Lytechinus pictus: one gene and its partner. The protein of the gene in region 1 interacts with the protein of each later gene in a biochemical or structural test. Links are inferred from orthologs where the notes say so. Each region holds a gene or a part of one and is shown in the gene's direction. Other genes may lie near its edges.

What was found.
Region 2: of the proteins of synembryn-A-like (region 1) and guanine nucleotide-binding protein G(i) subunit alpha, one has a biochemical effect on the other in vitro, tested with the Caenorhabditis elegans proteins (2 studies listed by BioGRID). The link is inferred for Lytechinus pictus from reciprocal best matches to the Caenorhabditis elegans genes ric-8 and goa-1.

The regions. Positions count from the first base shown.
Region 1 is NC_087253.1:23,120,012-23,123,940, forward strand, and holds the start of synembryn-A-like, read left to right. Parts: upstream 1-935; 5' UTR 936-1,345; intron 1,346-2,955; 5' UTR 2,956-3,054; coding exon 3,055-3,144; intron 3,145-3,929. UniProt on the Caenorhabditis elegans protein: Chaperone that specifically binds and folds some, but not all, nascent G alpha proteins prior to G protein heterotrimer formation, promoting their stability and activity.
Region 2 is NC_087247.1:11,665,411-11,669,339, forward strand, and holds the start of guanine nucleotide-binding protein G(i) subunit alpha, read left to right. Parts: upstream 1-1,490; 5' UTR 1,491-1,934; coding exon 1,935-2,052; intron 2,053-3,929. UniProt on the Caenorhabditis elegans protein: Guanine nucleotide-binding proteins (G proteins) are involved as modulators or transducers in various transmembrane signaling systems. In the 1-cell embryo, probably together with gpa-16, controls nuclear rotation and spindle elongation during mitosis.

The DNA.
Region 1 (3,929 bases):
TTCAAATGAAAAAAGAGAGGGGGGAAATGAAAGAAAAGTTTGGAAATGAATCAGTGCGGTAGAAATTCAGCTCATATAATAATCAAATTGGTTGAATTTTCATATTAGTAATAAATTTACCAATGTTAAAATGTTAATTTAGTTGTCATATAAGAAAATGTTAAGAATAAATGTAGATCATCTATTAGATGATATCTTTAATAGACCAGACTAACCCTACCTGTTACTATATTAAAAAGGAACTTTCAGGAAGAAACTGAGGAGAGAATGGTGTATGCAATTCATTATAGAGGGAAAACTTTAAAATGTTCTGCGACTATGTTTTTTTTTCCTCAACCAACTAACTGTTAGAGTTTGTAAAGGGCCTTCTGTCACAAAATCATCCCTTTTTGTCTTATATCTTCGTTCAAAATTGTTTGTTATATCATCAATCTCCGAAGTGCGTTTACTGATTATTTTGTGGTCGTCCCATTTCACCCCCATTTTATGTCCAATTTGACCACCTCTTGATGTGCACCCCCCCCCCCCCCCCCCCCCCAATCCGAGGTCGGAAGGACCGCATGCGTGTTCCCAAAATGTCCGGTAAAGGGCCCTTTTTCCCGGGACAAGTCCGGCCCGCGAATTGTAAAAAAGGGGATGTTTTTGTATTTTCACCGGAGATTTCTTCAAAAAGGGGGTGTTTTTTTTTATCTCTCTGACTCTCTCTTTGGAACCCTGAGAAATTTTAAAGGGGGTTAAACGGTTGTAAAATATCTTGAATATCATAGAAAATTTGATCAAATCCCGGGATCAAATTCTGAAATTCCTGCTAGTTTTGAAGGCTCATTCAGGATTATTTCATTTTGAAAAAGTAAAGTACGAACCTTTTGTTGGAATGAGAGCTCACCTGAGATAGGGGGTACATTGAGCAGTGTTCTGGATTTAGGGGGGTCTCCACAGCAGAAAAGGCCATGCAGCGAAAAGCCCTCGAACTGAGGCCGGGTTCAGAAATTTTGGCCGACCTTCGATAGGGGGGTGCTTTCAAAGGGAGGGAACTAGCATAGGCGTACCCTAAATAACACTGAGGGGGGGGGGGGGGGGGGATTGCACCCCGGGCCCGGGGTGTCCCATGTTACCCCCAAAATCAAGTGTTTCAAAAATCATTAATTACACAAAATAGAACTAGATAAGGGATGTCAATACAAACTATATTGTGTGATGCAAAATCAGAACAGTCGATCGACATGAAATTTCTTTGATGTTGATCCTGTTGACGAGCCATCTATTTTTCCGTTGTGCCTGATGAGCTGTTAGTGAGATCAGTGTCTTTCAAATACCCCAAATTAGATGTTCAGAACAGCGTGAGGTAAGTTTAGTTGAGAAATAATGAAACTGATAATGCCAACAAGGCAATCATGTCCCCCCAAAAGGCAAAATGGTCGAGAATCGACTGCACGCAAACCCGCGGCTCAACCATCGATGTCTTGTGGTAGATCTACCTGGCCCGGCACTCGGGGGTGACTCGCGTCACGTCGGCGGTGTTAGGCCGGTAGGCTACCGGCGCGGCCCGTAATCGTAATGGAATGCGGGATATTATCATGTTGTTAAACTTGTACATGCAATATGGCAGTGCTATTGTGTTCGTCCACAACGAATCATCTATTAATTTGAGTATTATTTAAAATTATTGTCATGACTCATGATTGTCTTGATTCGAATTGCACAGCACAGGATCAGGACGGACAGAAACTGAATCGCCAGGTAGCTCTAGCCTCTATTAATTTTATCATTTTTATCAATGGATGATGATTGTGTTGATGACGAAGTCGAAGATGATGATTGACAATTGTATTGATGTCGGTGTTTTGGTCTTGGACTTGGTGGTGGTGATGATGATGAGGAGGATGACGATGATGATGATGATGATGATGCTGATGGGATGGGGATGATGATGAGGATGATGATGATGATGGTGGTGCAGTGTAGCCAGGCGGCTTCTTGAGAGTAAAAATCATTTACTAACGTAGGCTTACTCTAAACGAAGCCAGGGAGTCCTCCCTATTCATCTGCGTGTACCGCAAAAAACCCTGAAACTTTCGCCCCCGAGATTTCTACTTTCCTTCTAAAAGATCTAGCTCTAAATCATGTACATGGGATAAAACTTCATTTCCCACATTTCTACGCTCTCGTTGTTATTTTTAAACAAGAATTCATCAAAAAAAATGAAAAAATATTGTCAAAAGACGGAAGAGACTTGCCCGATGTTTACGCCGCCATCTTGTTTCTTATTGTACTTCCCCAACGTTACGCGACGCTCGCGTCCGTAACGTTGGGGAAGTCAGCCATTGTTATGACTGTAGGCTCAAACATTGATAGATGGCGCTGTCTGTATCGAGGCCTCGCACTATCTAGTGAGACATGTTTTGTTTTTTTCCTGGAAAAAAAGGAGTGAACGTGATGAAATGGTTGCGCTGCTCCCCGATTTACTGGAAAATTATCCTGTCTAGTTCTTTTGGTGATTTGGGTAAGATATTTTCATAAAAAATAATGTGGTTGTAGGTAGACTATATTGGAAATGTATATACGGTAATCAAAGTGAGTTTGCATAGGAATTTTGAGTTTAAATTGAAATCTCATTTCCCCGTGTACTAGATTGAAAAAAAAATCTTGGCAAGTGTCTGTCTGGATAATAGATCCGAATAAGGGGAGGCCGGATAAGAAAGGTGAGACTGTATTACCTTATTTACTAGAAAAGTGCAGAGATCGTCAACCAATTTTTCAGTATTATGTACATACACAGGTAAAGAACACTTTCTTATTGTATTTTTTTCAAAGTTCCAGATTAAAAGCAGATTCGAAAAAGTGCATGCACAGTGATTGCATTCGGCCATAAGGAAGAGACATGCACATTTCATATGTGTTCACAGCACAAACTCTCATCATGTTTTCTTTCTATTTTGTTTTCCACTTCCATAGTGAACAGATTTGAAGAAGTGCAAGTTCTGGTTACATCTCAAGAGGTACAAAGTACATTGTATTTCCAAGGCAAGTTCGTCATATGAACAGCGTCCCAAGATGAACACGCTACTGGTGTCGGCTGTGCCGGCCTTTGAATCTGGGAACGAGACTGAAATCTGTAACAAACTGCAGGAATTCACAAAAGAGGTAAACAAATAATCACCTGCTATAACCTCTGATTCCCCTCAATATAGTATGCTTGTACAATGTCTCTTATTTCCCTCAATACTGTCCCAAAGGAATAAAAGCCAAGCAACAAATTATTAAGAAATAGGCCGATTGTCGATAATTATGCTTCTTATATAACCCTATGGCCCGTATTCTGGAGTCAGGTTTATAGACCATGGTCTAACTCTGTGCTAAAATTATGGGGAACCAAACATTTCAAAAATTCTGTCTATATTATATATTTCTTGTTTTCTTTTTTGTTTTCCTTTTGCTTTCATAATGAAGAAATATACTTCAGTTATCATTCCAAGACAATTATGAACAATTTGGGTGTCATGTGAGTTAATAAAATGAATGTGTACTGTAAAGGAATTTGTGCACAATTGGCTCTCCATAGTTAAACCACAACTTTAAACCAGGGTTTAATTTAAACCTGAGTTCAGAATACGGGCCTATTTTATCTATCCATGGTTTTCCAATGTACCTTTTCCTGATTAAAGATAAATACCAGTTTTGGTAACGATCTCAAAATGAATTCGAACAGAAATCCAATAAAATTACCACCCAAGTGTGTATGTATGAATACAAAATATGTGCCAAGTGGCTCTGGAAGAAAATGAGTAATTGCTGAGAAATGAGCAAAATAAGCATGAAATTCCATCAAATGTCGGGTGTTTTTCCAAGTAATATTAATATCACTGTCCCGCATTTGCTTAGTGATCACAGGGGTGTGGGAGATCAGATTTTTATCTGATTTCAGATGA
Region 2 (3,929 bases), on another chromosome or scaffold:
TTTATTATTTCATAGTCATATTTCCCCCCCCCCAAAAAAAAGGAAAAGAATTGTGCCCCCCTCTAACAACATCGACAAAAAAGAAAAAAAATTGGACAAGAATAATGTCTTTGATCGCCTCTTATGTGTAATTACCTGCTCGTTCGGGAGCCGGAAAGCAAGACATCCGAAAAGGAATGAAAAGAAAAAAGAAAGGAAAGGGAAATGAAGAGAGAGGGAGAGAGAGATAGAGGGGAGAGGGGGGGGGGGGCACCATGTCGATACGGCCTTAAATGCCCTACCCCCTGAATATTTGTTTTCTTTTCAAAGGAAAGGGAATACTGATCTATGCACTGAAAAATTATCATAGGCCCATAACATACAGAAATGAAAGGGACCAATGCTGGAATGGAAGCTGCCCTCTATTGGCGGTACACAGAATGGGTAAAGAGAAGAACAACAAGAATGGGAATGAAAATAGTAGGAAGAAAAAAAAATCATTATACATATATTCAGTTGTACTTGAATATATTGAGTATATATATATATATGGCCGAAATATATATGTATATATATATATGCCTACATCCTACGAAAGGGCGAAGTCAATGAATGGGTTTATTCTGTCATAATACACATATAGACGTAAAGACGAAGGTAGATGGCGTTAAGGCGCATTAAAAACAACGAAAGAAGACAAAAATAATTCGCCTTAAACACAGATGTATAGAAATATATATATATATATATATATATATATAGGCCTATATATATATTCCCCCTGGGGAACTTTGATTTAAGCTACGCCTACCATTGTTCTCTTCATCCATTTTTTTCACAATATATATATATATATATATATATATATATATAATGTTAAATGTGAAAAAAATTATACATGTACAATAGCTTTTGCAACTCTTGTATTTAAATATATTTGAAAAAAATGAATGAAAAGAACAATGGCTATAGATCTGTATAATTATATAGGCCTATACATAGGTTCAAACAAATAAAAATATTAAAACGACGTGGATAATATATATTTTTTTGCTACAGCTACTGTTGTGTGCAAATGGTTTATGTCCCTAATTTTCTAAAACCGAGGATAAACCTAGATATAGATCTAACAGTTAGGCTCCCACAGACCTAATTAACGTTAAAATGCGGATTAAAAGTTGCCAAAGCTTTCAATACAAAATGAATGTCATTTTGGTTATCTAAATATAATTTTTACATTTTTACACAATTCTTCCAGAATAGGCCTAACGTTTAAGTTACCAGGTGTGCTGCCTCAGGAGAATAATAAAGTATACACACTGGCACTGCACCCCCAAGGAATTTTTGGGGGGTGCTTTAGCACCCTTAGCACCCCCTGCTTCCCAGGGCCATGATCCGTGGGTCGAGGAACCAAATTTTTTTTTTATTAGGCCCAATCAAATTTTTATCCTTTCTGAAATTCTGGTGTATAATTTGTTATATCGCTTCGAATCCGGGACATTTCCCATAATGCCTTTCACAGAGATGTACGACGTTCGTATTGCGATCTGAGAGGTCGGCCGCGATAAAGCATCATGAGCGATTTTATGCGGGTACCGATTTTGCTTCGCCGTTGATCTTGTGTAGCAAAAGTGTGCCGGTGGTACGGTACGGTGTACGTGTATTGTGTGTACGCGCGACTCGACTGGGGTGTGGTGGTATACGGTGAATTTCTACGGAAGAAAGGCTTGCAGAACGGAATATCATTACTTTTGTGCGGAAAAATAACTTGTTTTGGACACTGCTGGACGGTGCAATTGTATCAGGATAACCAATTTTAAATGGAACTACCAAGGACTCTAGAGTTTGGAGAATAAAGAGGATATATCGACGGTTTGTAGACATTCAGACCGAGTGTCTGACCGGCTGTTCTTAACTTACTGGACTGTGCATAAACGTTATTTTATTATTCCAAAATGGGGTGCGCTACGAGCGCAGAAGATAAAGCGGCCGCTGAGCGGTCGAAAATGATTGACAGAAATCTACGGTTAGAAGGAGAAAAAGCAGCTAGAGAAGTAAAATTATTGCTCTTGGGTACGTATTGTGGATCACCATAGCCTACTGAAAAATGAAAATTTAATCACACAGGCAAATGATGTGTTAACATAAGTCATAACAACATGAAGTGTGAAGTGACAGAGCTGGATTTGTGCAGTGCCAGGCCAGTGGCAGTGCAGTAGCAGTGCAGTGGAGTGTGGAATCTTGTTCACTGCTGCTGCTGTATGAAGTCAAATGAATGATAATATCTGTAGAATAACAAAAAATATGATGAATGGATGAAAATTAAATTCTAAAACATGTTTTAACATTATTATCATGTTAGCTACTGGTACTTGCTTTTCACTTGATCCACCTTTTGTCTTGAGTCGTAACTATTGACCACTGACCACCTCTCTGACTCTGACTCTGAGCTGTGACTGTTCGCAAGTTGTTGCTTAGATATGTGTAAAAAATCCAGCTGCTACAAGATCAACTAAAGCAATTACGCAAAAAATTGTGTTGGTGCAAGAAAGCCCGTACTCCTTAGCGAAACATCGCCAACCACATCGGTGCAGAAATGGCATTTTTGTGCGGATGTGATGAACGAAAGTGTGGTGTTAGCGTTTTTGCACTGACATGAAATGCAGCGTTCCCACATGTCATACTCATAAACAAAATTTAATGTGCTCTTTTATATTTGGAATAACCAACAAAGAAAACAAACGCAGGAAAGTGATGTATTACTGATCACTTTCATAAATTCAATCATATCAAAAACAATGTTTTCTAAGAATTTGACAAAACTTCAAGTTCCACCAATCAGAATCACAAATACCCAAATATTAAAATGAAAATAAAGAAAACGGGCCAGCATCATGAAAACAAAGAACTCCAGATAGACTCACTCTCAATGGAAAGCAAAGCTCGAGAACAATGGTCTGTGAACAGATATGTGCTTTACATGTGTAAAGTCCATGCGCCTGCACTTTGTCGAATTAGGGTATTGTCTACATGTACATGTACATTGTACAGGGTGTACCTTGACTTTTCAAAGAGAGTGTGTGGAGCTGATGCGTCCAAGAAATAGGGCCCCGTCTTCCAAACCGAAGAACTTTTGTCTTTGAAATTGTAGGTTTTTGATAGCCTCTGGTGCTGGAGACAGTAGACATTTGAGGCAGGGCTCGACATAAGCAGTGGCCTGTTGGCCCGGGGCAACCAGAAATAAGAGTCGGGCTACCAAAAATTATGTTAAAACCCACACTTGGTGGCTTGATTGGGCTACCAAAGTCTTGATAAATTGTAATGTTGTCTATTGTTTTAGGGACACCAAATTTGCTTTGCTGGTCACCAAAAAATATGAAATTGATGATTTTGGTGGACTAATCGGGCCACCAAGTGTGGGTTTTAACAGAATTTTGGTGGCCTGACTCTCTTTTTTTGGTTGCCCCAGTCCCATTTTAACCAAGGATTGGTGTTTTGCTCACTGCAGCAAATCTACAAGACATTTGCATAGTTTCACGATTGTCATATTTGAACAAAAAATTCAGCCATTTGATTCTACATGTAATCTACATATATGTAGGATCTCTCTGAAGCTAACAAAGAAGAACAAGAACCGGTTTTAGAATGGAGGTAAAAAGGGAAGGAGAATTGGAAATGCTGCTCAATAAAAGTATGACCTCAAGGAAAAATCCAGCTTTTCTCCATGGTTCACTGCAAAGATAGCATGCTATTAAAGATACATGTAGTGACCCTAATTGAGGGTTATATGTACATACATGTAGCCCCCTGCTCTATCAACTGGTAGCTTTGAATTTAAAGGACAAGTCCACCCCACCAAAAAGTTGATTTGAATAAAAGGAGACAAATCTAACAAGCATAACGCTGAAAATTTCTTTAAAATCGGATGTAAAATAAGAAAGTTATGACAT